Linked DNA regions of Nothobranchius furzeri. The protein of the gene in region 4 purifies or fractionates together with the protein of the main gene of each other region. This does not show direct contact. Links are inferred from orthologs where the notes say so. Each region holds a gene or a part of one and is shown on either strand. Other genes may lie near its edges. The genes, in order: nepro, pop1, rpp40, rpp30, rpp25l and pop4.

Region 1 (5,225 bases), on a different chromosome or scaffold from region 4:
TGTTTAATCACTTTAAAAGAAGGCACCCCAAACAATCCAATGAGAGCCAGCTGGCAGCTAAAGCTAAAAAGCCTGCAGCTGCAGCGGCTAGTGCTTCTTCCAGGCAGCAAACGCTAACAGAAACACTCACAAAACACACTCCCTACGACAGAGACAGCAGACGATGGAACAGCGTGACAGATGCAGTGACGTACCACTTGGTTAAAGATTTGTGTCCCGTGCGAACACTAGGAGTGGGATTTAAGAAAATGATAAAAACATTGGATCCGCGCTACGAGTTTTCCAGCCGCAAGTATTTTTCGAACACCGCCATTCCACGCATGTACGCTGAATGCAAAGTGAGAGTTGCAGAAAATATTCAGAATGCGCAGTTTTTTGCTACCACAAGCGATCTCTGGTCCAGCCGCACATCAGAGTCATATTTGAGCTTAACTATCCACTACATGAGCAACTGGGAGCTACATAGTATTTTGAACAAGTTAATGTTTGCACAATACGTTTGCAATTGACATGTTTGCACTTTAAATATGTTTACGATTTTAATTTATGTTAAGTTACTTGAAAAACGAGAAAAACTGATTTTTGTAATTGTTTCTCTCAGGGCTTTTATCATCTCTGGTGTGAGTTTAAAATATAAGTGTGTTAGCACTGTGTTGATTATCCCTAATATGAATAAATGTTTGTTTATTCAATGTTTCTCTTCTTTAATACGCAATAGAAGTTATGCTATTCATGGATAAAAAATCGTGATAAAATCGAAATTGTGATAAAATATTGGAAAAATCGTGAAATTCTATTTTTGCCATATCGCCCAGCCCTAGTCCAGGTAAAACAGAAGACAAGACACTATACCTCTTTTGACCAAAACCCCCAGGTCTTCTGTAATCTTCCTCTTCTTTCCCTGGGTTCTCTCTTTATCTGGAACATTCTTTTTGCTTTGCTGCTTTATCTTCTGATCTTTGACGTGAGAGTGAAATGCACAATGCGTCTTCAGTAATAATTTATCAGAAGGACTCAGAATCTCAGCGATAGTAGCTGGCAGGGAGATGCCAGTGAGGTATGGCATGGGTTGGGCCTGGGACACATCCCTGAGGAGTTCCAGGACATTCGGGTACAGTTTGGCGAGCCCAACCAGGATACCACGGAAAATCACCCTGGTAAGGCACAGAAAAGGAGAACTTCAACAGTTTTTACATTTTAAGATACTGGTTTCAAACTGGTTTCAGTGGTTCTTAAGCCAGTACCTTTAGCAACTTCACATTGGACATAACTCTGTAGGCCTCCACTGACCAGAAACTGCTATCAGTTCGCCAATAAAAAGCCCAAAAAAGATCTAAACATAGAGGTAAAACCAGAGTGAACCTCGGCACAGCCTACACTCATCTGAGGGAGTTAAACGAAGCTACAAAATTTCAGACTGATGGTGACCTGGATTTGTTGCTACTGCACGTGTAAATTTAAAAAATAAACATTTTTTTTTCCCAATGGTGTGGACCTTTTTACTTTGTGGATCATTTGGTATCAGTTGGCTCTTGTTCATCATTAGCGCTAGCTACAGCAGTGTTGTAAACAAGAGCCCCATTCCCACCTGTACCGGGTCGGCCCGGGCCGGGTAGCCCCAGTCGGCCCCAGCCTGGCCCGGTTGATTCCACACATCATTGCCTTAAGCCCATGTGGGCTGCTTCTACCCACCAATCAGAGGCTTGCTCTAATGGAAGGTGTGAATTTGCTGTCAGCAGTGGGCGTGTTGGCCCTGGTCGGCCTGAAGCAGTACCCCTTGGGAAGAGGGCCGAGAATGAGCCTTGGTTGGCCCGGGAAAATTCCAGGCCACCCAGATATGTAAACAACCTACGCTACCCGGCCCGGGCCGACCCGGTACAGGTGGGAATGGGGCTTAATGGACCATTCCCACCTGTACCGGGTCGGCCCGGGCCGGGTAGCGTAGGTTGTTTACATATCTGGGTGGCCTGGTATTTTACCGGGCCAACCAAGGCTCATTCTCAGCCCTCTTCTCTCGAGGGGTTCTGCTTCAGGCCGACCAGGGCTAACACACCCACTGCTGACAGCAAATTCACACCTTCCATTAGAGCAAGCCTCTGATTGGTGGGAAGAATCAGTCCACATGGGCTTAAGACAAGGATGTGTGGAATCAACCGGGCCAGGCTGGGGCCGACCCGGTACAGATGGGAATGGCCCATAATCTAACACGAGGCACTGCTCCGAAAATGATCAGTAAAAATGGCTTTTTCTGGAGTTACATTTGCTCCAGCCTCTATTTTGCAGTTTCTCAAAGTTTCTCTTACCACAAACGACTGAGCATGCTGGTGATCACCAAACACAATAACACAAACTCCTCCAGTTTCATTTGCTGCCTCGTGAGTCTGAAACAAAAATGTGTTAAGGATAAACCCCCCCCCCAGCAATAAAGTGATCAGAAAAAGACTAAACCCTAACTAAGACGCCAGCAGTCAAAAACGACATGACACCGATACTTTTATGATGCACACAGATAACACAATCCTCTAAAACAGGATACATAAAGGCTCTTTTGCAGCGGGTCAAGGTGCAGCTTAGGAGTTTGCTGGCTCCCAGGACTTTGAGGCAGGTCCACTCCAGCGTGGGCTGACTTGGAACATTGCACTCACCGCTCTTGGTGCACAGTGTCCTAAAAATGCACACAAATTAACATTAGTTTGAAAAAAGCTGTGTAAGGTTGCGCTTTAGATATTTTAAAACTTGATTTGACCTATCCTGTTTCATCAACTATAAAGGAAGAGCCTTGGGTTGTTTGCTTCTTACATTTGAATCTTAGTTGGACACAAATTTGCAAGATCCTCAAGAGCTGCATCAAGCTTCATGTTCTTCAGTCTGTTTACACATTGTTCAACCTGTGGGAGAAGTCAGACATGACAAATACATCTAAAGAAGTCCACATCAAAACAGTTATTCTGCAGCTTTGGTGCTGACCTGTTGTAACCCCTTGAACGTCTTGTTGCCTCTCATGCTGTTGTTTAGAACGTACAGCAGCTCGTACAGAACTCTGATTTCCGTCCAAAGAATATTGCTGCGGAGAAGCTTCAGGACTTGGCTGTTTTCCCGCTGCAGGGTTTTGAAAACCTCAGCTAGAAACACACACACACACACACACACACACACACACACACGAGTGTCACCATCGAAGCACACGACGCAAAACCCCTGCGCGCACACGTGAGGGCTGAGATCGGCGCGGTTTTTACGCGTTGAAACGAGCGCGAGACATCAGACAATATAAGTAAAACACGTAATTATTTTAAAGTTAAAAAGCCAAACCTGTTGTTGATGTGAGACGTATGTGGACGCTTGATGTCGCACTGGGAAAGGGAATGTTTACCCTGTTCCATGGTTCCGCAGCCATGCTTTCTGCATTCCATGTACGGAAGCCGATTAGCCAATAGTGTTCGAGTGTGTGACGTCAACATTGGATTTAAAGGTACAGAAACAAGTTTGACACTTGAAATCGAAAATTGAAAATAATAAAACTAATAGATAAATAAGACATTTGCTTATTCTTCTATATTTTTTAAATTGTTACAGAAACAATTTACCATTTTTAAAAATCAAAGTATTTCTAAGACATTTTGAAGTGAAATTCAACATATTTTGAATATTTAAAATCTACAGAAAAAAGGATATTTTTGATAATGTATTTATACACTATGTGGTAAAATTGGAAACATTTATTAAATATTGAATAAATATTTTTAAATAATTTTACAAGTTTGCCATCCCCACGTGCTTGAGCTACTTATTTTTTTTAATGTTGCAATATTTGCAACTCTGCTCTTGCAATGTGCACACATTTAGAAAATGAATTAACGTGAATACTTTGCTTGCATAATAAAGTTTTAACACCCAGTAAAAACTGTACCAACAGATTTGTTGTAATAAAAACAATGTGTTTTATTTAACAAATGCAAGAAAATGAAACAAACTAATAACAAGATGACTCCAGTGATTCACTTAAACTCAATTTTCTTTATCCAGTTGATAACTTTCAGGTTGATCTCATCCATCACAGAATCCTCAGACCTTCCTTTCACTTTCAGTCCATGGCTGCCTCCTGCTATCCATAAAACTTCAGCCTGAGCTTTTATATCTTTCAGTACTCCACTGAAAAGCTCCTAAAAAAGATAAGTAAATACAATGACTGAAATATAATTGTGAAAGTTGAAATGGATAAAATAATACATGATGTCACTAAATTATAGATTTTAGGATATAATGAACATAAAATTAAACAAATAAAAAACTGAATAAGTGAACTTAAAAGGTACCAGGATGAAGGCCCGGTACATATTTCACCCTCACCCTGTCACACATGTTGTCCTCAGTGCCAGACACAAACAGCACATGAAGGCACTCAGGCAGCATCCGGAGATCTTCGCTCCGCTGGTGATGGATATGCCTCTGTCCTGGAGGATGCAGGGGGAAAGAGAGACAGATGACTCCCTGCACTGCTGCTTCCTTCGACTCCTCACTCAGCTGCCTGGCCAGTGCTGCTGCAGCACGACATCCCAATGACCTGCCTGTCAACATACAGAAAAAAATTTTAAAATATATATTTGTTTTATTTTTAATACTCGTTTCTGTTTCATATGTAATTAAGTTTTAGAATATGGCAACTGATCATTTCCTTGGCTTTTACCTCCAACAAACGTGTGTTTTATTGTATACTTCTGATATGATTTCAAGTAGTCCTAGAGCAAAAACACAGCAACGTGTGAATACACACTAGAATTTATTAACATAATTTTATAAAAAATGGAAAACCCTTACCCACACTGCACAATACGCCTTAACTCTATAACTCAGATTTAAGCCTTTACACGTAAAACGAAGGCAGATGAAACCATTTGATGCTAAAGTGTGTGCCAGAGAAACCAGATGTTTGTAGTTCATGTCTCCCCCTGCTCCGTGTGTGAGTACAACAGCTGTATGGACATCTTTTACTGAGGCTGGGACACACAAAGCAGCATCCAGTACTTTTGTCCCAAACGGGACCTTCACCTGTTCCTGAAAGTTAACAACGGCAAAAACGGTGTTTTTTTTAACTTGTGAAATTCTTATCTGTTCCATTTACCTTGAGACGCTCATAATCATAATCTGGCTTGAGTTAAGGTCAATAGTATATTAATTAGTAGTGTTTAAGTAACTTTTACCTCATCAAACGTCGCCATTGATTG
Region 2 (4,699 bases), on a different chromosome or scaffold from region 4:
CCGTTCTGGAGGTGGGCACATTCAAATCCATGTCGTAACCCTACTTTGATGACCTGACGTTCAGATTTAGAAAAAGGGCCACAAGTTTGTCCTTAAAGACGACAGTAAGACATCCACCACCACATCCTGGGTGTTGTGTGGTAGACACACACCCGTTTCATGAAAAGGCTCAAAATTAGCCGAGTTTCAGTAAGAAATGAAGATCTTAAAAGCCCTCTCTGATGAACAGCTCCTTTGGGTTACATTAGGGCTGCAACAAACGATTATTTGGATAATCGATGAATCGGATGGGGTCTCGACACGATTAATCGATTAATCGGATTACATGGGGAAATTTTTTTAAAACTGCTAGGGAAACGTTATTTCTCTCCTTCCTTCACTTTATTTAACACAACATTATTAGAAAACAGTTCAATAGCAGAAAAACAACATGCCATCACCTAAATTGTCTCATAAGGTGTATAGACAGAGACCCTAAGCTACATCTATCTGTGACCTAAAATGCTTGGTCCAAGTTAAACAGCTTAAGGGCAATTCTCATCTGTTTTGTTTGATCTCATCTGTTGACATTTATTATAACTGGGGATGTCAAACAACTAATTTTTAAATGTAATTAAACATTGGCTGTGAATTAATCAAAATTAATCACTATTTCCAAAAATGACTGAAAAAATACCAAATAAAACAAAAGTAAATGAATGCCATCCTCCTTGTGATGATGCCCTGGGCAACTGCCATAAAGTCACATCAAGAAATGCTGCTGATCATTCCAATGATCCCAAATAGACTCACATTAGGCCACATGAAAGCAACTGAACCCAAAAATATATTAACCAGTATATAACTGCACTCTCACACAACACGCCTGCAGCAAGCGTTTTTGCTTCTGAGGACATTGTGGTTGTAAAACCACATGCTAGTAGTCTGGCCCCGGTGTGATCAACCAGTTTCTGCGGGAATGTGACGGCGGAACCAGGGCCAGATTAACACTTTGTTGTACCCTGGGCAACAATATTCAAGGGCTCCATCATCACGACCCGAGGATCACCATAATGTGGTCACATACAGAATATTTTACTGTAATATGCAGTAAATGTACTCAATAATGGAATGCCTGACAACACGTAACCTGCCCAGAGTAACCTTTGACCCACCTCGTGTGGACTGACCAATGAGGAGAGGGTCTTGAGGCCCTCTCTTCATTGGTCAGTCTGCATGAGACTGACTCTCAACTGACGTTCAGTCATAGGCAGCGAAGCGTCTCTGTGCAGCGCAAAAGCCCGGGTGGACAGTTTGTTTAATATAGGGTGACCATATTTCCATTTCCAAACAAGAGGACAGGGGATCTGTGCCTATGACATCACACTATGGAAACGCCACACAAACCATGTTGGGACCCATTTTTTGTAAGAACTAAATTAATATCAGATTCTGCCAATAAAAGGGCTCTAAAACAATTCATATGTAAATATTTTGCATATTTAATGCAAAATCTCATTTTTCTGCTTTAGTGCTGCAACAAGGTTTTATTAATAAGAAATTATTATACCTTTTGTTTTACTACAGCATTGGTAAGCTTCCTGTGCACAGATTATTAAGGATGCTTGTTTCAGCTGTGAGATTAGACGATAGGATCAATGAAAAAATAAGTTGTCCCACACTCCATGGAAACTTTCAGAGAATCCACAAATAGTGGCTTTCACATGGTTTTGTTACTTTTTGCAAGTTTAGAAAAGCAGCAGATGAGACAGCATGTCTGATAATTTAGTTTTTCATGTGATAATATTAAAACATGTCAGTAATGTCTGAGGGGCTTTTATAAACACTGTATAACTAACACTACTGGAGAGGGTATGGATTACACAGAGGCTTCTGGGGAGCCCAGTTATGGTGGTGGTGGTGGGGGGGGGGGGGGCATTTTGCCCTGGCCCCCAAAATGTCTTGAAACGGCCCTGGGTGTGTGACTGAGTTTTGAAGGTGATCTGAATTGTATCAGATGTATAAATATTACATGTGTTTAACTTATTGTTTTTTACTGGTAAAAACGTGTAGTGGAGATAAATCTACCTACATTTTACTTTTCAACACTTTGTTTTGTTTTCTTGTTTTTATTTAACTATTTTCCTGTCCTGTCTGTCTCTCATCTTCCTGCATCTCCTATAAACTCTCCAGAAAATCTGTTGCCTGGATTCTTACCTTTTCACCTCATCAGTTACTTTTGAGCAGATCAAAGGGATCTCCTGACCGCAAAGCGCAGAGCGCGTTTTCGATGCTGCGTGAGGTGACATCACCACAGCACAGGTGATGAGCTCCGCAGTAGCGCGCTTCAGGCACAAATAAGACAGAAAATAGAGAACATGTGTGGACATGAACGATCGTGTGCTAATTATAGTTGTTTGGTTGCGCCACTTTGAGAATGGACCGTGCGCTGGAAGCAGCTGCCTGGAGCGCTGCGCAACAACGCGCTGTACCACTCTCTGCTCAAGAGTCCAAAAATGATATAATATAGAAAACTTTTTTCCGGCTCCCTGGATGTGTAGGATATACAGCTCCCCCATAATTCGATCCCTGCTCCTGGATGAAAAGCCGGACATTTTCATCAATACAAGAACCCGCAGTCCGGACGCCCGGACAGAGAGTGAAAAGTGGACAAGTCCGGGGAAAACGGAACGTACGGTCACCATAGTCCTCATGAAGGGGAAATTATAGATACAGTTTTGTGCTCGTGCCCTGGGCCCTTTAGAGTTCGTGGGCCCTGGGCAATTGCCCAGTTAATCCGGCCTTGGGCGGAACCGGTTCGCAGCAGCGTGAACCTTGCGCTGATTTGCCGGCTCTCCCTCGCGCTGATCTGACTTGCTCTGTGCGCAACGGCGGGCGGGAAGGGGGCGCGCTTTTGGGAGAGTTGTGCGACACAACGAATCGATGACGCAATTCGTTGCCAACGCTTTTAGTAATCGATTTTCATCGAATTTATCGATTCGTTGTTGCAGCCCTAGGTTACATACAAGCAGTCAGCTGCTGTCAGTCCCTGAGGTTGTGTCTGGAGTACTGGGTCCTGCCAGGATTTGAACCTGGAACATCTGCATGGCCAGGCAGAGCCCCCCCCAGGAGTACAGAACCAGATGTGTTCTCACTGAAACAACCTCCAGACTGAAACCAGCTCCCGAGTAGCTCTAATATTCAGCTGGATAATGTGGGATGAGAAACCCACTCCTGTAAGGTGTACCTTGGGCCTGGCTCACGCAGGGCAACACTTTCATCTTCTTTGTTGGTAAAGTCAGCCTGGGGTCATCCACCGTCAGCCCCAGCACTGTGCCGGGGGGGAGCTCTGTGGTTGAACTGATGCCTGGCAGAATTACACAAACAAGCGTGAGTTGAGTCTACAAGCTGGCAAACACACGGGGGCGGCTGACCTTTCAGTGTGTGGAAGACATCAGCTTGCTGCTGATGCAGAAGCATGTTGCTCTCATCGCTGCAGTGCTGAGGCCACCAGAAGGTAGAGCCCAAGGACTTATCCACTTCCTTAGAAGAATAGAACAAAATGCACATTCATCCAGAGTCTGCTGCAGAAGCTGCTGCAGCTGAAAGCCCACAGCTTACCTTACAGACCGTCGCTGCTTCAAGGGCTTCAGTCAGCACAGAGTGGGACTGTGGTCCAATCAGGCGATAGCGCACAATCTCCATGGTGAGGTCACTGCAGCACATTTATAAACACTTATGACGTCTTGCCTTTTCTGTTTCTGTCTGAATGAAACTTGAACCATCACTAACTTGATAACTATTCCGGTGGAGCTGGACTTCCAGGTTACTGTAGTTCCCGGTAATCTGGTCCCATCACCCAAAATCTTCTTCACAGGAGGCTCACTGGCATCCACAGAGCTCCTCTTCCTCTTGGCTCCAGGTTTCAGCTTTGCTTCCAGGATGTTTTCAGGCTTTGGATGTGGAGCGCTTTTCTCCTTTCCACACAAGACCTCGGGGTCAATGGAGGGCGGCACAGCCTCCCAACACCGGCATACACTTTGAAGTTCTGGGAGAAGATCCTGGGCACAGAATGGAAATCACTTATTGTACAGCTTTAAGAATCCTAATAAATAAACCCTGAGATTTTATGCTCTGTTTAATCCAGATATTACTGCTGCAGAGCCGACTTAGGCTACAGCATCTGCGCCAGAGAGGCCAAACGAGGACCCAAAAATGGCCAAAAGTCTAGTTTATATCAACAAAAAGGAACTATGCAGTAAAACTCACAACTAAATCAGATCACGAGTGGTAGCACACAAACTAAACTACAGAGACAGCAAGGTGCATGCAGCAGAAGAAACCATCGGGTCGTTTAAGGCTGGTATCGCTCATAGACACACAGCTAGTTGTTAGACCTTTTAGGGCAACGAAGAGTTCACTAGCCTGGCTTCAACGTGATTCTACAAGAAATAAAACAGACATCAACAGGAAAACCAATCAGAGTGTTCCCAGTGGTTGTTACAGTAAGAAGTAGCAGGGACCTACACACATGCTTTTACAGGAAGAAAAAGCTTCTGCAAACCAGAAGAGTGGTTCTGATGGTGGAAGAGAGAGGAGCATACAAGGCAGGTGTTTCCACAAATTAAAGCTGGTGTAGCAGCAGCCCTACACATCATGGAGAAATAACCAGGCTGTACTGTGACTCACAAATACAACCTTTGTCTCCTAAAAACCCACC
Region 3 (5,234 bases), on a different chromosome or scaffold from region 4:
ACACTTCCACGTGAACCACATTACCACGGTAACACCACATGTCCACGTTACCACGGTAACGCATCACTGGGATCACGACAGGAAGCTGTTGTTAAATTGTTGTTTTATTTTCAGGTTTACTCATAAATCGGGAGACAAACATTCTGCTCTGAGGTCAAAGGTTACAATCCAAAGAAAAACTCAGGTAAAGGTTAAAGGTCGCTCCAGGGAGCTATGCAGAAAGAAACCATGCAGCACTGTTGACCCATTTCCTGTCTTGGGGCAGATTTTTTCTATGACAACAGTAATTCATCTTGGTGAGAGGGTATGTGACCCAGAGGTCACCTCATGGTGGACAAGTGTCATATGCTCCTGTGGCCAGGTGGAGGTGGTAGGTGTGGTCAGGGAACATCAGCAAGTTGTAGAAGTTCTCCCCTCCACTCAGAACCCCGTGCTCGTTGTCCCCCCATGATACTGGACTATCGATGAAACCGTGAACCGTCAGTGAAGCCCAGGACTCCAGCTGAGTTTGCTGCAGGTGACACCTGAAGCACAGGTGAGTTATTTTGTCGTCAGCTGTTCAGGTAAAGGTGTGCTTGTGTGAGAGAGCTAACCTGAGCTCCTGGATCAGTCGCTGCACATCGTGTGGCAACAGCAGGCCACAGATGGACACGCTCAGAGCATGACTGAGCACGTCATTGGGCTCTGGACAGGTGAACGATGACAGGAAGCTGCTGGATGAGCTCTCACTGAAACCACAGAAGAACGACTTGTAGTCACAACACTTGGACACGTGACCCTGACTGGACCACTCACCAGCTGATGTCGGCCTCCACAGCTCCAATCCACTCCAGAAGACTGTGACAGTCACATGACCGAAAGTCGGGACAGGTCAGGTCAGTCAGGTGGCGGCAGCTGACCTCAGGTTCGTGTTTGGACCAATCATAACGAGACAGGAGTGGCTGTAGAGAGGCCCCACCCTCTGAGAGGCAGAATGGAGTACAGGTGATACAGTAAAAGAGAATCTGGTCCATAAGTCCAGTTTAGACTGCGAGACCATCTAAAGGCTCAGGAAGCCTCTGCCTGTGTTGTGGATTCATCAGCTGATTGGAGAACATTGAACCTTTACATGATATTCTGAGATGTTAAATGTGGGGTCGTCATCATCTGGAAGCCGTAATCATCACAGGTAGAACAGATAAAGGCGGAAACATCTGGATTGACAGGATGAGTCTGTCTCATTGATTAGTCTCACCTTTCAGGGTGGATTAGTGACAACAGTGACCTTTACCCCTTGTTCTAGTTTTTATGAGTTTCACCTGTAAGGAGAAGATCACATGTAACCATCCTTAACAATGGTGTGTCACCTGGATGATGGGACAGTAGGAAGTCTGTCTGCAGCTGAAGGTGTGACCGAAGACCTGTAAGGAGCCGGGTGTGGCCCCGTCCACCAGGTGCCATGCTGCTGTCCGTCAGGTCCACAGAGACCACTGCAGGAGACATCACACTCGGTTGGTTTCTGGTTCTGTTCAGGCTGAGCTCAGCAAACAGGTCAGGACTGAACAACCCGGACCTGAGTCAGGAACATCTGGACATTCTTTCCTGCAGGTTCCTTCTAGTGAGGATAAATTCACCCTAAAACTCCACCCAGTGTCCTGGCTCTGCTGCTGTTTAGTCAACTGGCTTTTTTAGGCTACCGCACGGGTCCCTTCACACCTGGTACCTGGAGACCCAACACCTATAGTCCTGGGACTTCCTTTAGAAAGCTGCTTCTGCACAAAACGGGTCAGAAAACGGTGTAAGGGACTTTCTACGCAAACCGCGCGGTTTATACAGAAACGCTTGACAGAAAATGTGGAAACTTTAAACAAACTTTGGATCTGGAGACGAAAATCGTGTCATCACAGCTGGTGATATGGTGACATGTTTGACCAGAGTGATGAAGGTCTGCAGACCTACCAGAGACCTGACCAGAGTGATGAAGGTCTGCAGACCCACCAGAGATCAAACTGATGAAGGTCTGCAGATCCACCAGAGACCAGACCAGAGTGATGAAGTTCTACAGACCCACCAGAGATCAGACTGATGAAGGTCTGCAGATCCACCAGAGACCAGACCAGAGTGATGAAGTTCTACAGACCCACCAGAGATCAGACTGATGAAGGTCTGCAGACCCACCAGAGATCAGACTGATGAAGGTCTGCAGACCCACCAGAGATCAGACTGATGAAGGTCTGCAGACCCACCAGAGACCAGACCAGAGTGACGAAGGTCTGCAGACCCACCAGAGTGATGAAGGTCTGCAGACCCACCAGAGACCAGAGTGACGAAGGTCTGCAGACCCACCAGAGACCAGACCAGAGCGATGAAGGTCTGCAGACCCACCAGAGACCAGACCAGAGTGATGAAGGTCTGCAGGATCGATCTGGACTTGGTGACCTTTAGAAAACAAAAGTAAACCTGACCAAATCTGCTGCAGGTTCTGTGGTTGAATCTGGACGGTTTCCCCTCAACCCCCAGAAGTTCGTACGAGTCTTTGTCCAGAGACAGAACCAGACGTCCTGCAGGGACCAGAGGAACCACTCAGTTTTTTTCATGTTGCACTGAAGAAGTCAAAGCTGTCGCCTGTTTTACCTTTTGGCATCAAAGCAACACAGGTATCTTCATCGATGCGAGTCCCAAAGGACAGACCATACACAACACCTGAAGAAGGTTCAGACAAGTGTGTACAGGTAAGTACTAAATAACAAGTACACACAGGTGTGTACTGATAACTAAATGGTATATACAGGTGTTGTGTTACCTTGGTTTATGGCACCCTGCAGGCCTGGGTCCAGCAGCTCGTGTACTGGTAGCTTCTTGATCAGGTAGAAACTGCTGAAGGTGTTCATCACCAAGTCCAGGTTGGAGGGGGTGACGCTACACCCAGGCAGCAGTACAGATACCTGCACAGATGAACCCAGTCAACAGAAGGTAGCACGACTTTGTGATGCTGCAGGTAGAAGCAGCAGAAACTGGACATCACCTGGACCCGTACCTGGCAGCAGGGTTCTGTTATTATTTTCACCTATCTATTCAGCAAGTACCCGGATGAGAAAAGTTTATACTTCAGTTGCCTCGTGACTCAGATGTCGGTGCAGCGATGCGCGCTCCCGCGACAGGGCATGCACGGCATGGGCAAAACACTGGCTCGTCACAGCGCGTGCACGCGCAGCTCTCACCTTGTGGTTGAAGTGCAGCTTCTCCACCTGAGGGCTGACCCGGTTCTTCTCGTCCAGGAAACTGGACCGATCACAGACCAGCAGAGTCCGAGGAGTCCGGTCCAGATCCGAACACATATTCACGGTACCCTCGTCGAGACCGGATCCAGACGAGAACCCGTTAGCATGAAACCAAACGGAACCGCGGAAGTTCTGGATGTTCTACAGGTTCTGTAGATCTGAGCAGGAGGATGTCGTGCTGTTTTCAGAGCCTCGTGGGTCCCCGTAGTCACGTGGTCTACGCCGGAAGTGAAGAAAACACGCGGTGGTGAAAGCGCGCTCCGGTCCGAACCTAGGGTAACCCGAGCAGAACTTGGTCCTGGTTTCTGTTTATTCACGTGACATCATGGTGGAGGTGGCTGCCGTACCAGGGCAGTTTGATGACGCGGAGGAGGACAACCGGTATGTTGTTATTTGTGACGTATTGGATCAGAAACGTGACCTAATGAGAACGGTCCTGCTCCGGTGTTGTACTGATGTCGGTATCCCAGGTAGAACGTGTACCCTGCGTCGGGAACGCGCGCCGTTTCTAGCTAACCACGTGTTTAACCTGCGTAAATAAAGATTAGTTTTGTTCTGTGGGTGACTACCGGAAGTGATGCATTTGTAGGAGTTCTACAGGTGAACAGCTTTGTTTTAAACACTATTGGCTCTTATTGTTTCTCGTCATCATGAAGTTCAGTCAGCTGTAGACAAAAACACCAGAGAACATCCATCTGCTGATCAGCAGCCAGGCCCAGGCTTCCCTCTCCCCAACCACCTGGGCCAGCTCCTCCGGGGGATTCCCAAGGTGTTCCCTGGCCAGCTGAGAGACATAGTCCCTCTAGCGTATCCTGGGTCTTCCATTAGGTCTCCTCCTGGTTGGTGTGCCCGGAAAACCTCACCAGGTCCAGCAGGCATCCTAACCATATGTGGAGAAGCAGAGGATCTACTTCGAGCCCCTCCACATTTCTCACCCTATCTCTAAGGAGGTGTCCAGCCACCTCACAGAGAAAATGCATTTAGTCCGCTTGTATCTGCGATCTCATTTTTTTGGTCACTGCCAAAGCCCGTGACTGTAGATGAGGGTTGGAATGTAGATAGATCAATAAATTAAGAGCTTTGCCTTCTGACTCAGCTCTGTCTTAACAATGGCAGACCAGTACAAAGCCTGCATCACCAATCCATCTATCGATCTCACGCTCCATCTTTCCTTCACTCGTGAACAAGACCCCGAGATACTTAAACTCTTCCACTTGGGGCAGGACCTCATCCCTGACCTGGACAAGGCATTCTACCCTTTTCTGACTCAGGACCATGGTTTCACCAAACTCCTTCCACTCCTTGAATAAAATACATGGATAAACAGAGCTTACTAGGACTTCCAACATTCAATTCAGTTTATTTCTATAGCGCCAAGTCACGACCAGTCGTCTCAAGGACCTTCACACAATAACCATTCCAGTACAGGTCAGGGGTCTCATCTATAAAACATAGCATAGAATTCTTACTAAAACTGTACTTAAACTCAGCAAAAAAATGTACTTATGCCAAGTAGGTTTGTGATCTATAAAATATGGAGTACGCACAATTGCACACAATCTCCGCTTTATGAATCAGAGACTACCTAGAAATGTTCTCAGGTGTTTTTTGATCATGTCCCACTTCCAACACGCCCACTTTCTGCCTTTAATGGTCACTGCAAAGTACCTTGTGGATCTCATGCATATACATAAGCCGGCTCGTTGCAGCGCTCCACCATTAACGATGGCGACCGCAGATCAAGGAAGTGCAATTTCACCTAAGCATAAATTGATGTACTTGTTGATGACGCAGAGAAATGAAAGTAAGTGCTTTTGCAAAACAAATAAGAGAAAATCCACAGACTGGCACAGTTTGGGTTTACTTGTTCTGTGTGAAAACGAAGCAGTACAAGTGATAATGCTGCAGGATTTCATAATTTTATCCTTCTCAGCAGCAGCACTGCAGGTGCTCTCCATGTCCAAAATGTGCGTA
Region 4 (5,260 bases):
AGAGGGTTTCATCCTTTTGGCAGCAGGAGCTTCACCTGTACACATGAACACAGAGAGGGACCTGGGTGAAACAAGCATTACTTTGTTTGAGTCTGATGAGAAACCAGATGATGAAAAAACATCAGTTGGAGTTCTGAAGGACAGATCACCATCGCCTCCAGCCTGATTCAGCTTCAGATAAATGCAGTGGAAACTTACTGTCGGCAGAGTCCTGCAGCGCCTCCTGCTGGGTTTTCCAGGTGTGCACAATGCCGCTGGCTGTCGACCTGGTTTCTGACAAATGAACAAACAGTGTGGTAAACAGTCTGAACCAACAGGAAGCCCGAGTCTGCAGAACTTCAACAGGATTTACCCGCACGCAGTAAAACAGATCTGCAGGTGGACGAGATAGATTCTTTAGCATCTCGGTTGGACAAACCAAACAGCAGACCTCTGAGAACCAGATCAGGAACGCAAGACATGAAATGTGTTGTACAACACTACACACCAGACACAGTTCTGTGAAAACACACACGATGGTCTGTTCTGATATCTCACAGACTGCGGCAACACTGAGCCCTATGTCAGATTAATGAACAATGGTTAAAGGATACAGGTTGGCGATGTCATATGGTCCTCTGAGCTCCCAAGACTGAAAACACAAATATCAGGTCAGAGAAGTACGGTGGACAAAAAGGGCTAAAACTCAGTTATTAGAAATGTTCTGATTTGGTGAAACAGAACCTTTAGTTAAATTCATGTTTGATCCACAGACGTAGCTGATCACTGACCTTGTCAGCTGCACTCGACAGGATCACGTTCTGAAAAACAGAAACAGAGCTCAAGATCTCACCTGCAACGTGATGTCACAGAGCTTATGTCAAATAACAGCATAGTGTAAATTACTCTGCAGCTAGCCAATCAGATGCAAGGACATGCATACCTTCCCTTTACAGCTCTCCATCAGGCACACGGCGTTGGCGATGGTGTAGCGCCTCATGGTAGAGTCTCTGATGGCTGCAGCATAGGATACCTCAAATGCAACGCCTCTCTCGATGGCCTGAACTTACACAGGTTCACACATTCATTAAAACACACACACACACAAATAAACAAACAAACAAAAGCCTTGGTTGTCACCGCATTGATCGGCGCTCTCTTGAAGAAAAAGGGTAGCTTCTCTGTCACTGGGATGCAGATGATGTCGATATCGTACAACGTGCAAGCTGCCTGAATAACACACACACACACACACACACACACACACACACACACACACACACACACATAATACACATACTTCAGTAAAAATAGAGTGCTTTCCACTCAGTCTGTTTCATACAGGTGTAATTATTGTACAGCTGTGTTTTCCAGGACAAATTACAGCTACTGCTATTACAACCACAGTTAGTTTCTATTTTTTATAATGTTGTGTTTCTTGAAAACTTTTCCATTCAGTGAAATTGCAGTTTAGGTCCTGTTGTGTTTTCTAATTAAATGTTGTCAATTTATTATTTTTTTGTCTTTTTTAAACTTTTCTTTTGTTAAATATCCAGTTGTGTTTCAGATGGTCTTTTGTTTAGTTTTGTTGTGCGTTTTTCCAGTAAGTTGATTTTTTAAAGTCACATATTTCATCCATCAACATTCCTGTAGTCAGTGAAAGCATCATCCTGTTGGAGAGATGAACAGAGTGTCAGTGAAGCTCACATGGAAGACTTTCTCAGAGCTTGAATGGAGGGCGATGAGGTCGAAAAATCGAAAAGCTGGAGAGTTGGTCGGCTGTGAGCACGCACGCACGCACACACACGCACGCACACGCACGCACGCACACACACACACACACACACACACACACACACACACACACACACACACACAAAACAGGCTGTGGCATCACATCATACAATCCATTTCAAGATTATTGATCCCTTAGCTCTAATTAGACAACTCACATAGTGACTGGCGTCAGACATCACCAGCGTCAGTCTGTTCAGCACTCTGATTGGACGAGAACGGCCCTGCACCATGGGCAGCTTATCAAAGATCTCATTGATCGGCTTTGGTGAGGGAATTTCCTGCAAAGACAAAATAAACATACTCCCAATAATAAAAGTTTGAAACAAAATGTAAATTCATTGACAATCAACTGATTGATTCAGCATCTGCTTAACCATAGAGATCAAGTGAATGCTCGGAGATCAGTTTTATAAAACCCGTTTTGATGTTTTACCATTTGGATGTTTCTGTTCATAAGAATGAATGAGAATGTAATAAAGTATCAAAACGCAGCCACATCAAAGGCTTCTATCTGACTCCATGCTGTTCCTCAATGCAGCGCAGTAGGTAGTCTGACCTGTTTCTTCTTGGCTACGAGCTCAAACACATAGTTGATGGCGACCGTGGAATATCCAACTGTAGGAGGGGAAAACAAAATCCCAGTTAATCCCTTCAGTGAGGTTTGCATCATCCAGGTTCTGATTCTGGATCTGTGGTTGTGTAGGGTTTAGGAAATTGAGTGCTTTAAGAGCTCTGTTTGTGTGAATCAGGTGGATATCACGATCCTGTCACAGTCACTGATGTAAATACTCCAAACTACTGAAGATCAAGTAAACATCTGATATCTTTCTGTTTCCTGTCAGACGTAATGATTATGTCTCAGGCTTTATCCTCAACAGTTATTGTTCAGTTACGCACGTGCAAAGGGTCAAATGGACAACAAAGAATGCTTTGTTATGAAATATTGTTCCTAATCAAAAGTACATAATCCAAGGCGATGTTACGGGTTTGTGGGTTTTAGATGCAAACAAGCTGTGATCGATTATTTCTCTAATAAACGGATTCAACTTTTCCCACAAAATCTAGTGATAAGGGTTGTTCTTAGTGATGTTATAAACAAGCATTATCGATTAATATCTTAACAAATCAAGTCATTTACTGACAGTGTTTAACTGATACCAGAGCCTCATCAGCCGAACCAAAACCAGCTGAGTTACGAGGCGGACCAACTAAACACAACACTAGAAAAGGTCTGGTTTAAGGTCGAGAATACTCACGATGAGCAGCTGTTTCCACCAAACTCTGCAATTGCTTTATATTAGACGAATACATCACGTTTAGGTCCATAAACACAGACATGGTACCACGAACCTATACAGCTCCACATATAGAAAACCGCAAGGCTTGCTGGGAGCTGGAGTCTTGTTCTCGATGAGTGAGTGACACGGGCTGAGGCTGACACAGAATATTTTGTATTACCGCCACCTGCTGGTGGCGGAAGCCCCAAGCCCAAGAACGACAAAAGAAGAAAACCAGTGGATTCTGTGATAAAGCTAATCTTTTTTCTCAATTTGACATGAACCTGTTTGGATATTTCCTCCTGGGAAGACGTATCTTGTTTTAAAGTGACTTAAACACACGCGCGCGCGCGCGTGCGTGCACGCACACACAATATGACTAATTTAAGCATACATTAGTAACAGAGGTGCATTTTTGTTTTATTATAGAAAGTATTTTAGTATCACTTTAATACCAGGACAGACAAATTACAAAGAAATCAAATACTTTCATTTTTCATTTTCTAAATTTTGACTAAAGTTCAAATCAATCATATTTACTGCTTTACACTAGCCTGGCAAGCCAGACTAAATAAATCTGTTATTTAAACTTTGCAACGCAAGAGGTCTAGTAGTTCACTAGGTTATTTTTATTTACTTTGTTGCTTCCAAAGAACTGCAGCTGCAGTAACAACAGTCTGGCAGCAGGGGGCAGCCGTGCCAAACCGCTGCTCAGGGAACAAACAGCAGCAGCAGAAGAAGAAAAGGTCAGAGGTCAGTGAAAAGTCGAAAATTTACTGCAGACGTCTGAGATTCTCGCGCTTAAACCGAACCAAAGTGGATGTTACACTGCTATAACAAAGCGGGTCAGCCTGAACTCTGAGCGGGTTTTTGTGTTCAGAACCACTAGCCTGACACGAATCTATAGTTTCAGTGTAACCTAACAGAAACGAGCAGATTTACAGAATCCCTGATTATTAAACAGGGCATCCTACCGATCTAACACTTCTGCCTGTGAAATAAATCTGATGCAGTGTGAGAATAATTGTTGGAGGTCACAAGAATAATTATTCAGAAAAGTGTATTTAAATCAGACCTGATCAGACTAGTTTGAGTGGAAAACTGCTGCTTATGACTGGTAAACAGGTTAGTATCAGCTTCATTAATGAACATCTTGCAGAAACATAAAAACAGACTCTGTGTGCAGGCTGAGGCAGCAGAACCACACCAATCCAGTTCAGATCAGTCTGGCCTAATCCAGCAGGTCCGGTCCAGAATGGCTTCCCTGTTAAGACCTCTGAGGATTTTCTTTCCCGCCAGATGCTGTGTTCCGACCCGTTTCTACTCAGGCTTCGTGTCCAGGATGAGGTTCTGAGGCTTAGACATCTTATTTATTAATTGTTTGGTTGATCTGCTGATCATGGATGGATGTTTCTGTTCAGATTCCTGAACAGTCTGAAGGAGTGTGATGAGGCGTGTGTTGCAGCGCTGCAGAACGCTCACATTTTCCTGTTTCATCGGTTGGTTCCACTGCTGCAGCAGACTGGCCGAGGAAACTTATCTCCAGTCTTTCTCACCTACTCAGGTACACAGCCCAAGAACCAGAACCCACAGACTAGCGAATCCAGAAAGTCAGGGACAGATCAAGATCTAAGACTTCAGTCAGAAGAGGAAGTAGTAGAACCTTCACTTTCAAACATCTCTTGTGATTATCTTCCAGATGTTCAGTCTGTCTTGCAGAAACTTGGTTCTGACGAATCCCTACTAAAAGAGTCCATTCTGGTTGGCTGTTCAGATCAGAACCAGGCTCAGTTCTGTCTGGATGTTGGTAAGAACCTGGTAATAGGTGAGCATCAATTTGAAATGGCTCTGAGTTCTGGTTCTGGTGCATGCGTGATACGTTTTAGGAGAACTGGATCAGGCAGCAGTAGCAGAAGAATTTAAAGGTTGCTTCATGGACCTGAGGAAAGCTTTCTTCCTTCTGAATGGATCAGGGGCGCCTCTAGTGGCCAAGGTGCGGCTCTACAATGGGACTCTGGTGTTGTGTTCTTTATGACTGTTCAAAACCACAGCATCTCATGTCCACTGATCTGTGTTCATGTTCTGACATCTGCTTGTCCCACAGGCTCAGGCTCTGCTGCGCTGGCATCAGATTAACAGGTTCTGTGGTGCTACGGGTCAGCCGACCCAACGGAACCAAGCTGGTAGTCAGAGAGTTTGCAGCAGCA
Region 5 (5,475 bases), on a different chromosome or scaffold from region 4:
ATGGTCCCTTCAACGTGTCCTGGGTCTACCTTTAGGTCTCCTCCCGGTTGGACGTGCCCGGAAAATCTCACCAGGGAGACGTCCAGGAGGCATCCTGACCAGATGCCCGAGTCACCTCAACTGGCTCCTCTCTATGTGGAGGAGCAGCGAATCTATTCTGAGCCCCTCCCGGATGACTGAGCTTCTCACCCTGTCTCTAAGGGAGAGCCCAGCCACTCTGCGGAGAAAACTCATTTCGGCCGCTTGTATCCGCGATCTCGTTCTTTCGGTCACTACCCAAAGCTCGTGACCATAGGTGAGGGTAGGATCGTAGATCGACTGGTAAATCGAGAGCTTTGCCTTCTGACTCAGCTCTCTCTTCACCACGACAGACGGTTCACCAATCTGCCTGTCAATCTCCCGCTCCAGTTTTTCCTCACTCCTGAACAAGACCCTGAGATACTTAAACTCCTCCACTTGGGGCAGGACCTCATCCCTGACCCCATTATAAATAAATGCTGAAAAACAGCCACAAAGTGTGGCAGGAATATAAAGGAGACATGTGCCCCCCAGACACTTTAGGGGACACTGAAACAACTAAACCATTGACATTGATGAGCCCTGCGTGACTGCCACCATCTTTAATCTGTTAGGCCCCCCTCTCTTTGACAGAGGAAGTGTCAGCATGCTGATTCAATTACTTCTTGAATACGGAACATATTTTGAGACTTATAATTACAACTTGTACAGTGCTGTGAAGGAAAGGGATTGCTACTGAACAGAATAAAAAGAAATTGTTTTATTTTAACAAATATGTTGTAATAAGTCAGGATGTTAGGGACAACTGAAGTTTTCCCATTTAAAGCAGCTGATCAGTCATGATTAGGGTTGCCAACCGTCCCTTGAAAAACGGAATCGTCCCGTATTTAGAAACAAAAGTGCACGTCCCGTATTGAACTCAAAAGGGACGCACTTTGTCCCGTAATATAGTATGGATCAAAATTAGTCTGTAGTCTATTACCGGAATTAACGCTTTGTTTGAAAGCCAGCCCTTCGCCTGCTCTGTGACTAATGAACTGACCGCATGCTTACACACGAATATGACGATAAGATTACCGCTTATTTCATTGGTCGAGGAACGGTCGCTTGGGGAGAAGATACCGGAAGAAAACAGACGACAGCAAACAGCACGGCCAACCGGGAAACTAACGCCGACACTGCTGTACAAGTCTCGGACGACAGTACCCCTCCGAGAAAGAAGAAAAAAGGCTTCAAAAATACAGGGAGGAATGGGAAAAGGAAAATTCCTGGCTGGAAAAACTGCGCGAGAACACCTATAAAGCGCACTGCACCGTGTACCGGCGCAGTTTTTCCAAAGGGCATGGTGGACTCACTGACCTCAAGCAACATGCGTCTAGTAGTAGCCACATGAAAAACATAAAGGACGTGAAATTACGGGGAACCCTCGATCCATTTGTCGTCCACAAGGCCATGGCAGAAGCAGATATGGTAAGTAAACATTGCTTTTTTAAACCCTCTGGTTAAAGTGAAGGTATTTATATGAAGAAAAAAAAACCCACTGTGTTGGGGCTTGTTTACCATTATTTTTATTATTTTTGTTGTCTGTTTCTGTTTTGTCATTAGTTTTTCTATTTTTTTTTTTTAACTTGGGTGTTTAGTTTCGATGTAGCCTTGTCTTGGTTTATATGTTGTTTGGATAATTTTAAACTAAAAGGATGGATAAATACATAATAAATAAAGTGAACTATTGTATTGTATAAAAGCTATACAATGCAATAAATATACAATAAATGTTTTCCATTTATTTACCACTGTAAGTGTTCTATGTGGTGCTTATAACCCAGGTTTACTTCTTATCTCCATTGGCAGGTTAAACATCTCTATGGATGAGCTTTATGACGAGTGTGTCACTGCAGCCAGCCTTCTGGAGCACCTCACCAAAGGACCTCAGGAGAAGGAAAAGTGGCAGTCCAAGGGAACAGCAGAGAAGTGTATAGAAATTCTTCAGGCAGCTGACCTCTCCAACATCCAGCCTGTTGTATCGTTTGTACTCAGCATCCCATCTTCCACTGGATTGGCAGAGAGGATTTTCTCTCTCATGAAGAATAAGTGGACTGATGTGCGGAACAAATGTTCTACTGAAATAATTAGATGTGAGCTCATTGTCACTCTAAATTGTGACATGTCTTGCTCAGAGTTTTACTCTGCAGTACTGAAAGACAAACAACTCCTAAATGCAGCAAGATCTCAAAAGAAATACAAATGGCGAAAATAGTCTGTTTTCACATAATGTAGCATTGAGTTTTTGAGTTCATGAGTTTGGACTTTTTTTTTTTTACTTCAACCATAGGCTACAGTCAAGGCCTTTGAGGCACAAATATGTTTACAGCTTCTCCACAGACTTTCTGTTTGCACTTTTCTAATTGCACTCAATGTGCAGTTACAGCGTTGCTCTTTCTGTTGTTTTCTATTAATTTATACAATTTTAAGTTAAGCAGAACAGAGTTGTTTTAAAGAGAGCTATTTATATTCTAAAAAGTAAAGCATAACAGGCTACCGTTTAAGAAAGAGACCTACTTTTTTTTGTCATTTTGCACAAAAAGTTGAGCATAACAGTTTTCTGTTTAAGAAAAATACCTTTGTTACTTATAATAATTTTGTAATTTCACGCCATAAATAAATGGCTAAATGATCATTTGTTTCCCATGTTTTCATATCACAAAGAATATGCATCTTCTTAAACCAACTTCAAGTCAAATAGTAAAAAAAAAAAATCCTTTCACACCCACACACAAAAAAAGAGCAAAAAAATCACCACGCTGGGAAGGGTGGCCTGGAGCGCCCTGCCCGCGAGGTGTCCCTTATTTATTTTTCAGGGAGTTGGCAACCCTAGTCATGATTAAACACATTTCCAACCTTTTGAGTTTTTAAACAGATATAAAATTCAGTTCTGAGCGCAAACCAAACTCCACACAAAAATAGCATTTTTACCCAGATGTGATGACGTCGCTGAACTTGGTTTTAAACGAAGGTTTAAAATACAATTCTGCGTCTTTTTAAGTGTTCGGCATGCTTATGACATCATCACACGCAGAAATGATACACAATATAATTTAACTTCGCGTTCAATGCGGTGTTAGCCTTTAGCACACTAGCTAGACAGCTAACTTCAAACAACAACCACTCCAACTAACCACATGTGCCAACAAGGCTGTTCAAACTCTGACCTGAAAACACCTCAGATGATAATAAACCTCACCGCAGGAAGCTGCTTCACCCGGACTCACCTAAAGCTAACCGTTCAGTAAACAAGTGTTTTTAAAATGGTCATAAATAAGACAAACGCAGGTCATAAGGGGTAACACAAGATAAAAACCTTAGGTGGTCCGCTGCAGCATGAAAACACTATCTTCTTACCTTTACTTCTTTCCTTTTACTACTGAACACTGCTCCGAGTCCGCATGTTTACCACAACAGGTTACGTTACCGTAAAACCACAAAAACTGTCGTAAACTCACGAGACACTTGTAGTTTTTTAAAGTACCGCGAATCATACGTTTCAGAAAAACAATAAAATTCCTATGAAAACCATGGAAAACAAGCCCAGATGCTCCATCACAGCAAGGACTATTTTGTTACACTGTCTAAGCAAATAAGACTGCAGAACTCATAATTAATTAAGAGTTTTTATTGTGATGTTTCAAAGCAAACTGAACACAGCTGTTGTTTCTCTCTTAACACGTCAGGTGACAAACGGAAGCTCCAGGGACATTTCAGTAAATTTCAGCATGCCTCAAAATGTACTCACAATGTAACAATACATTGATCTACTTTGACACATCCATCATGGCCATCGATCCAAAAAGCAAAAATCAATTGGTAAAGAATGTATGCAAATTCATTTTTATTTTGAAAATTATTCTATTTTGAAGTTCCATTGAGACAAAAATTTCCACCTGTTCCTGCACATCACCAAACCAGGGGCGGTTCTAGACCAAATTTTCCAGGGGGGCCACTGTGGGGCCAGTATTTTTTCATGGGGGCACAAGAAAAAAAATCATATTAAAAGACAATGAACAAGTAAACTATTACGGCGAATGCAGTAATGGCTTACTTGTGAAAGTAAAACTGGCATGTTTTTATGGTACTCAGATAACAATTCTGAATGCTTCACCGCAACATGAGACTTGAGTAAAAAACAATTCTAGTCAATTATTATAGTTTGTGACTTTATTTGAAGATTATATGAACTGTACATATGAAAAATAAACATTCAAACAAATAAAATATCTGCACAATACAATCTGCTTTTTGTAGTCAACACACACACACACACACACACACACACACACACACACACACACACACACACACACACACACACACACACACACACACACACACACACACATAAGCAAAATCACTTCACCAATTGTTTTGATAAACTCACGATTTTCTTTAACCTTTTTACTGAGTTCCTTGTCGAGTATATTAGCCAATGTTGTATTAGCTTTCACAGCCCTCTGGTAGTCCCTCCACGCTATCATTGAATCCTTATGCCTTTCAGACTTTGCGTGTACTGAAAACCCCCCTCCTCTCTCAGTTGCTTTTTTCCAGTTCCTAAATCCACATGGTGAGTCAAACACACTTCCTGCGCTACTTGGTGGGCTAAAATGTCTGCATGCATGACAATAAGTAGAGTCCATAGTAACAGAATATTCAACCCAATTGGATGACTTTCATACCAGCTTGGCTGAAAGCTGCATCTTCTGTCTCCTATTAATGTCACTGGAAATGTTCTCAAATGAGGCTGAGTAGGTGGGTCATCCTTGCACTTGCTGATATCTGAAAGAAAATAAATGTTAGCATGAGGATAAAAGTCATAATTAGTTAACTCTGAGTCTTATTTTATCTATTTATTAAATATAAACAACAGAAATTTTGGTCCAGAGTCAGCATGCCTCAAATGCATTTTACACACAATATGAGCTGCAAACACAGAGGGGTTTGTTTAACACCCACAAACCTGACGGTAGTGCACACAGTGCACATGACAGAAGATGTCCCTCTTTTTGCTCCTCACTCTCTCCCTCACAGCCTACATCTTCCTCCTCCTCACTCTCAGGGTGGACAGCCTCTGACCTCTCTGGTTCCTCTCCAACCAACTCCTCCTTCTCTCTTTCATCCTGCTTCTCAGCTCCCTTGTGACTTTCATCCTCTCTCTGCCTATACTGTTCTTTATTAACAGCCGTAAAAAAGGACAAGATGTCCCTTTTTCTTTTCATGGCCGCTGATGCTTCCAGTCAGTGGTGCGAGAAAGTCATAGATAAATTAATACTGTGATCCAATCTCAACGTGTCTAAGGCTTAAAATGCAGCAACTTCATTTTTATTTTACAGTTAATGTTACAAAGGAACAACAAATCAGTATTAACTGTGGATAGACTCAGTTAGGAACTTAAAAGTAAATGACAGA
Region 6 (3,735 bases), on a different chromosome or scaffold from region 4:
ACTGATCAACGACCTTCAAAATAATGAACAAGGACACTGATTAACGACCGTCATAATAATGAACAAGGACACTGATTAACGACCGTCATAATAATGAACAAGGACACTGAATAACGACCGTCATAATAATGAACAAGGACACTGATTAACGACCGTCATAATAATGAACAAGGACACTGATTAACGACTGTCATAATAATGAACAAGGACACTGATTAACGACCGTTATAATAATGAACAAGGACACTGAATAACGACAGTCATAATAATGAACAAGGGCACTGATTAACGACCGCTATAATAATGAACAAGGGCACTGATTAACGACCTTTATAATAATGAACAAGGACACAGATTAACGACCGTTATAATAATGAACAAGGACACTGAATAACGATCGTCATAATAATAAACAAGGACACTGATCAACAACCGTCATAATAATGAACAAGGACACTGATTAACGACCGTTATAAGCGTTACATCAGGGATTTCGCCCGTTAATTCTTGGTAAAGTGTAAGTTGTGTATTGTAACATGCACACAACGATGATGTCAGCAAAAATCCTCCTGTACCAGAGGAATCTGAGCTTTTCAGCCCGGTGTTGGACAAATAACATGGTTCTGATGTGGTTCTAGAGACACCAGCTGACCATGGGTCAGAGTTCTGTTCATAATTGTTATCAGACCTACCTGTCCGGATCCCACACAGCATCTGACTCGACTTCAAAGCCTGATCGCTTCTGTGAGTTTGTGACGTCACTGAACCTCTGTGGCCACATGTTGTGTCCTTGGGCAAGACACTTCACCCAACTTGCCTGTGTTGGTGTTGGTCAGAGGGGCCGGCGGCGCCAAATGGCAGCCTCACCTCTGTCAGAGCGCTCTAGTGTGGCTGTGGCTACGAAGTAGCTTACCATCACTGGCAGTGTGTGAATGTGAGAGTTCACGCAAGCGTCCTTGAGTGTCCTAATAAAGCGCTATACAAGTTTGATGATTATTATTATGATTAGCATGCAGGATAGGTGTCACCGCCACGTGTGAACTGTAAGTAGACCAGCAGGATGGTGTCCCTTCATGTCTCCTGTCTTCACAGCAGTCCACAGTTGGTGCAGCAGAAGCTTCTGAAAGCAGACCTCCATGGAGCCATCCTGACAGGTAGATGTTGGCTGGTTCTGGGTGTCACAGGCACGGTCCTGAACCCAGATCAGCTTCTGGTTGAGTTTATATTTCCTACTAAAAGATGCATCTAGAACCAAATTGATGTTCTAATGATCAAAGTTCTGTTAGAGGTTTACAGCAGGGCAGACTGGGCCCACCCTCTCTTGTGCTTGTATTGTTGGCATGTGAGACTACATAACCGGTTCTCCTGTCTCAGTGGTCCGGTCCAGATGTCCATCATACGTGGGGACAACAGGGATTCTAGTGCAGGAGTTCAAACACGTCTTCAGACTCATCACCAAGGAGGACAAACTCAAAGGTGAGAGGACAAGACCCAACACAACCGTGACTTGGTTCTCTGCAGAGGAACATGAGTGATTTTTACCACGGAACCGTTGTAACCGGCAGCTTCTCTTTCCCGTCTCTGTGTCAGTAATTCCCAAGAGGAACAGCGTGTTTTCCGTGGAGATCAACGGATTCGTTTCACACATCTATGGAAGCAAGTTCCAGCAGCGGGCCAGCGAGCGCTCCGCCAAGAAGTTCAAGATCAGAGGGACCATGGACCTGTGAGGGCCACGGACCTCAGATCAGCTGACTCATCAAAGGGAAGAGCTGATGACATCATCAGCTGCATTGGGTGGAGCTGTGTGATGGAGAAGAAGAGTTGGAGGCTCTGTCCTGCATACATGTAGCTGATCTCACACACACACACACACACACACACACACACACACACACACACCTACTGTCACACTTAATAATAAACAACAAAACAGTTTGTTTCTATGTGTCTTTTTAAAATGTGAAGGTTATGTTTTCACAAGGCAGAGCTCTGCTCCCAGGTTCCTCTGTGGTTTAACTGGCTCAACCCTTTAGTTATGCGGCTGTAGAGTCATGGTTTGTGGGTTTAGCTGATGATAACAGGTGTCAGTCAGACCTCAGAGCCAGAACTATGATGGCTTCTGGTAGCAGAGCTGCTACAGGTGGATTTCCTGATCAGTGGTTGTGTTTTGCAGAGGCTGGTTCTCATGAAGGTTTCATGAGGTCCGGTTTAGTTTCTGAGCAACTGCTTGGTAGACACAACATTGCGTCTGATGCTTTATTAATAATCAACTAGTGTATAGCAGACCAAATTATTTTACATCCAGAACTCAGTTTCTTCCAGATACAAGGGTTCTGATAAACATCACATTCAATCACCACATATACATCCATCCCATATCGTTATTCATAACTTGTCATGTATTATAGTCTAGAAAATAAAGTTTATTTTTAATTATATACTTGACTCTGTCTGAATTAATACGAAGTGTGTTTATAGTCACTGAATAAGCAAAGAATCCTAAATTCTTCTGGTTAAACATTCAAAGATCAATCAGGTTGATATTCTATATTTATATAGAGTCATCACATCTTATTGGTCATAATTTAACCCCCCAATCACGACATTACAAAATCATGATTGTCTCTGAAGCCTGGGTCTTAGTGCTACCCCTTACTCAGATCCTGCCAACAACATGCGTGGCGTTAGCATGTTCTCATGCATTTGTGGTGTGAGCATGTTCTCACGCATGTGTGGCATTAGCATGTTCTCATGCATGTGTGGAGTTAGCATGTTCTCCTCATACATGTGTGGCGTTAGCGTGTTCTCATGCATGTGTGGAGTTAGCATGTTCTCCTTATGCATGTGTGGCGTTAGCGTGTTCTCCTCATGCATGTGTTGCATTAGCATGTTCCCCTCATACATGTTTGGTGTTAGCATGTTCTCATACATGTGTGGCATTAGCATGTTCTCATGCATGTGTGGAGTTAGCATGTTCTCCTCATGCATGTGTGGCATTAGCGTGTTCTCCTCATGCATGTGTTGCATTAGCATGTTCTCCTCATACATGTTTGGTGTTAGCATGTTCTCCTCATGCATGTGTGGCGTTAGCATGTTCTCCTCATGCATTTGTGGCATTAGCATGTTCTCCTCATGCATGTGTGGCGTTAGCATGTTCTCCACATGCATGTGTGGTGTTAGCATGTTCTCCTCATGCATGTGTGGCGTTAGCATGTTCTCATGCATGTGTGGAGTTAGCATGTTCTCATGCATGTGTGGAGTTAGCAAGTTCTCCTCATGCATGTGTGGAGTTAGCATGTTCTCCTCATGCATGTGTGGAGTTAGCATGTTCTCCTCACGCTTGTGTGGCGTTAGCAAGTTCTCCTCGTGCATGTGTGGAGTTAGCATGTTCTCCTCATGCATGTGTGGCGTTAGCATGTTCTCCTCATGCATGTGTTGCATTAGCATGTTCTTCACATGCATGTGTGGTGTTAGCATGTTCTCCTCACGCATGTGTGGCGTTAGCGTGTTCTCCTCATGCATGTGTTGCATTAGCATGTTCTCCTCATGCATGTGTGGAGTTGGCATCTTCTCCTCACGCATGTGTGGAGTTAGCATGTGTGGAGTTAGTATGTTCTCCTCATGCATGTGTGGCATTAGCATGTTCTCATGCAGGTGTGGTGTTAGCATGTTCTCATGCATGTGTGGCGTTAGCATGTTCTCCTCATGCATGTGTGGCGGTAGCATGTTCTCCTC

The links.
Region 1: the proteins of rpp30 (region 4) and nepro purify together in Homo sapiens (affinity purification with mass spectrometry; 3 studies listed by BioGRID and IntAct, counting the BioPlex papers as one, with this or other methods). This does not show direct contact. The link is inferred for Nothobranchius furzeri from reciprocal best matches to the Homo sapiens genes RPP30 and RMP64.
Region 2: the proteins of rpp30 (region 4) and pop1 purify together in Homo sapiens (affinity purification with mass spectrometry; 5 studies listed by BioGRID and IntAct, counting the BioPlex papers as one, with this or other methods). This does not show direct contact. The link is inferred for Nothobranchius furzeri from reciprocal best matches to the Homo sapiens genes RPP30 and POP1.
Region 3: the proteins of rpp30 (region 4) and rpp40 purify together in Homo sapiens (affinity purification with mass spectrometry; 3 studies listed by BioGRID and IntAct, counting the BioPlex papers as one, with this or other methods). This does not show direct contact. The link is inferred for Nothobranchius furzeri from reciprocal best matches to the Homo sapiens genes RPP30 and RPP40.
Region 5: the proteins of rpp30 (region 4) and rpp25l purify together in Homo sapiens (co-immunoprecipitation; 3 studies listed by BioGRID and IntAct, counting the BioPlex papers as one, with this or other methods). This does not show direct contact. The link is inferred for Nothobranchius furzeri from reciprocal best matches to the Homo sapiens genes RPP30 and RPP25L.
Region 6: the proteins of rpp30 (region 4) and pop4 purify together in Homo sapiens (affinity purification with mass spectrometry; 4 studies listed by BioGRID and IntAct, counting the BioPlex papers as one, with this or other methods). This does not show direct contact. The link is inferred for Nothobranchius furzeri from reciprocal best matches to the Homo sapiens genes RPP30 and POP4.

What each region holds. Positions count from the first base shown.
Region 1 is NC_091754.1:12,629,068-12,634,292, reverse strand, and holds the start of nepro (nucleolus and neural progenitor protein), read right to left. Parts: upstream 3,486-5,225; 5' UTR 3,398-3,485; coding exon 3,313-3,397; intron 3,123-3,312; coding exon 2,968-3,122; intron 2,889-2,967; coding exon 2,800-2,888; intron 2,666-2,799; coding exon 2,537-2,665; intron 2,382-2,536; coding exon 2,304-2,381; intron 1,155-2,303; coding exon 853-1,154; intron 1-852. Other genes in the region: tex30 (testis-expressed protein 30), read right to left, coding at 3,999-4,163, 4,351-4,568, 4,688-4,739, 4,819-5,055, 5,202-5,225. UniProt on the Homo sapiens protein: May play a role in cortex development as part of the Notch signaling pathway. Downstream of Notch may repress the expression of proneural genes and inhibit neuronal differentiation thereby maintaining neural progenitors.
Region 2 is NC_091745.1:50,265,122-50,269,820, forward strand, and holds part of pop1 (ribonucleases P/MRP protein subunit POP1), read right to left. Parts: intron 4,041-4,699; coding exon 3,772-4,040; intron 3,695-3,771; coding exon 3,601-3,694; intron 3,523-3,600; coding exon 3,414-3,522; intron 3,347-3,413; coding exon 3,227-3,346; intron 1-3,226. UniProt on the Homo sapiens protein: Component of ribonuclease P, a ribonucleoprotein complex that generates mature tRNA molecules by cleaving their 5'-ends. Also a component of the MRP ribonuclease complex, which cleaves pre-rRNA sequences.
Region 3 is NC_091751.1:33,813,549-33,818,782, forward strand, and holds rpp40 (ribonuclease P protein subunit p40), read right to left. Parts: upstream 3,392-5,234; 5' UTR 3,318-3,391; coding exon 3,201-3,317; intron 3,155-3,200; exon of another isoform or gene 3,017-3,154; intron 2,925-3,016; coding exon 2,783-2,924; intron 2,683-2,782; coding exon 2,614-2,682; intron 2,541-2,613; coding exon 2,445-2,540; intron 1,470-2,444; coding exon 1,347-1,469; intron 962-1,346; coding exon 796-961; intron 729-795; coding exon 594-728; intron 525-593; coding exon 326-524; 3' UTR 87-325; downstream 1-86. Other genes in the region: riok1 (serine/threonine-protein kinase RIO1), read left to right, coding at 3,586-3,641. UniProt on the Homo sapiens protein: Component of ribonuclease P, a ribonucleoprotein complex that generates mature tRNA molecules by cleaving their 5'-ends. Also a component of the MRP ribonuclease complex, which cleaves pre-rRNA sequences.
Region 4 is NC_091756.1:51,152,261-51,157,520, reverse strand, and holds the start of rpp30 (ribonuclease P protein subunit p30), read right to left. Parts: upstream 3,189-5,260; 5' UTR 3,115-3,188; coding exon 3,033-3,114; intron 2,392-3,032; coding exon 2,333-2,391; intron 2,055-2,332; coding exon 1,932-2,054; intron 1,759-1,931; coding exon 1,687-1,758; intron 1,210-1,686; coding exon 1,120-1,209; intron 1,040-1,119; coding exon 923-1,039; intron 801-922; coding exon 771-800; intron 632-770; coding exon 594-631; intron 433-593; coding exon 353-432; intron 274-352; coding exon 199-273; intron 36-198; coding exon 1-35. Other genes in the region: nudt13 (NAD(P)H pyrophosphatase NUDT13, mitochondrial), read left to right, coding at 4,198-4,400, 4,475-4,617, 4,753-4,860, 4,940-5,046, 5,158-5,260. UniProt on the Homo sapiens protein: Component of ribonuclease P, a ribonucleoprotein complex that generates mature tRNA molecules by cleaving their 5'-ends. Also a component of the MRP ribonuclease complex, which cleaves pre-rRNA sequences.
Region 5 is NC_091745.1:59,630,090-59,635,564, forward strand, and holds the start of rpp25l (ribonuclease P protein subunit p25-like protein), read right to left. Parts: upstream 3,521-5,475; 5' UTR 3,418-3,520; intron 3,401-3,417; exon of another isoform or gene 3,377-3,400; intron 1-3,376. UniProt on the Homo sapiens protein: May be a component of ribonuclease P or MRP.
Region 6 is NC_091749.1:7,822,484-7,826,218, reverse strand, and holds the end of pop4 (ribonuclease P protein subunit p29), read left to right. Parts: intron 1-1,092; coding exon 1,093-1,154; intron 1,155-1,374; coding exon 1,375-1,476; intron 1,477-1,590; coding exon 1,591-1,727; 3' UTR 1,728-2,438; downstream 2,439-3,735. UniProt on the Homo sapiens protein: Component of ribonuclease P, a ribonucleoprotein complex that generates mature tRNA molecules by cleaving their 5'-ends.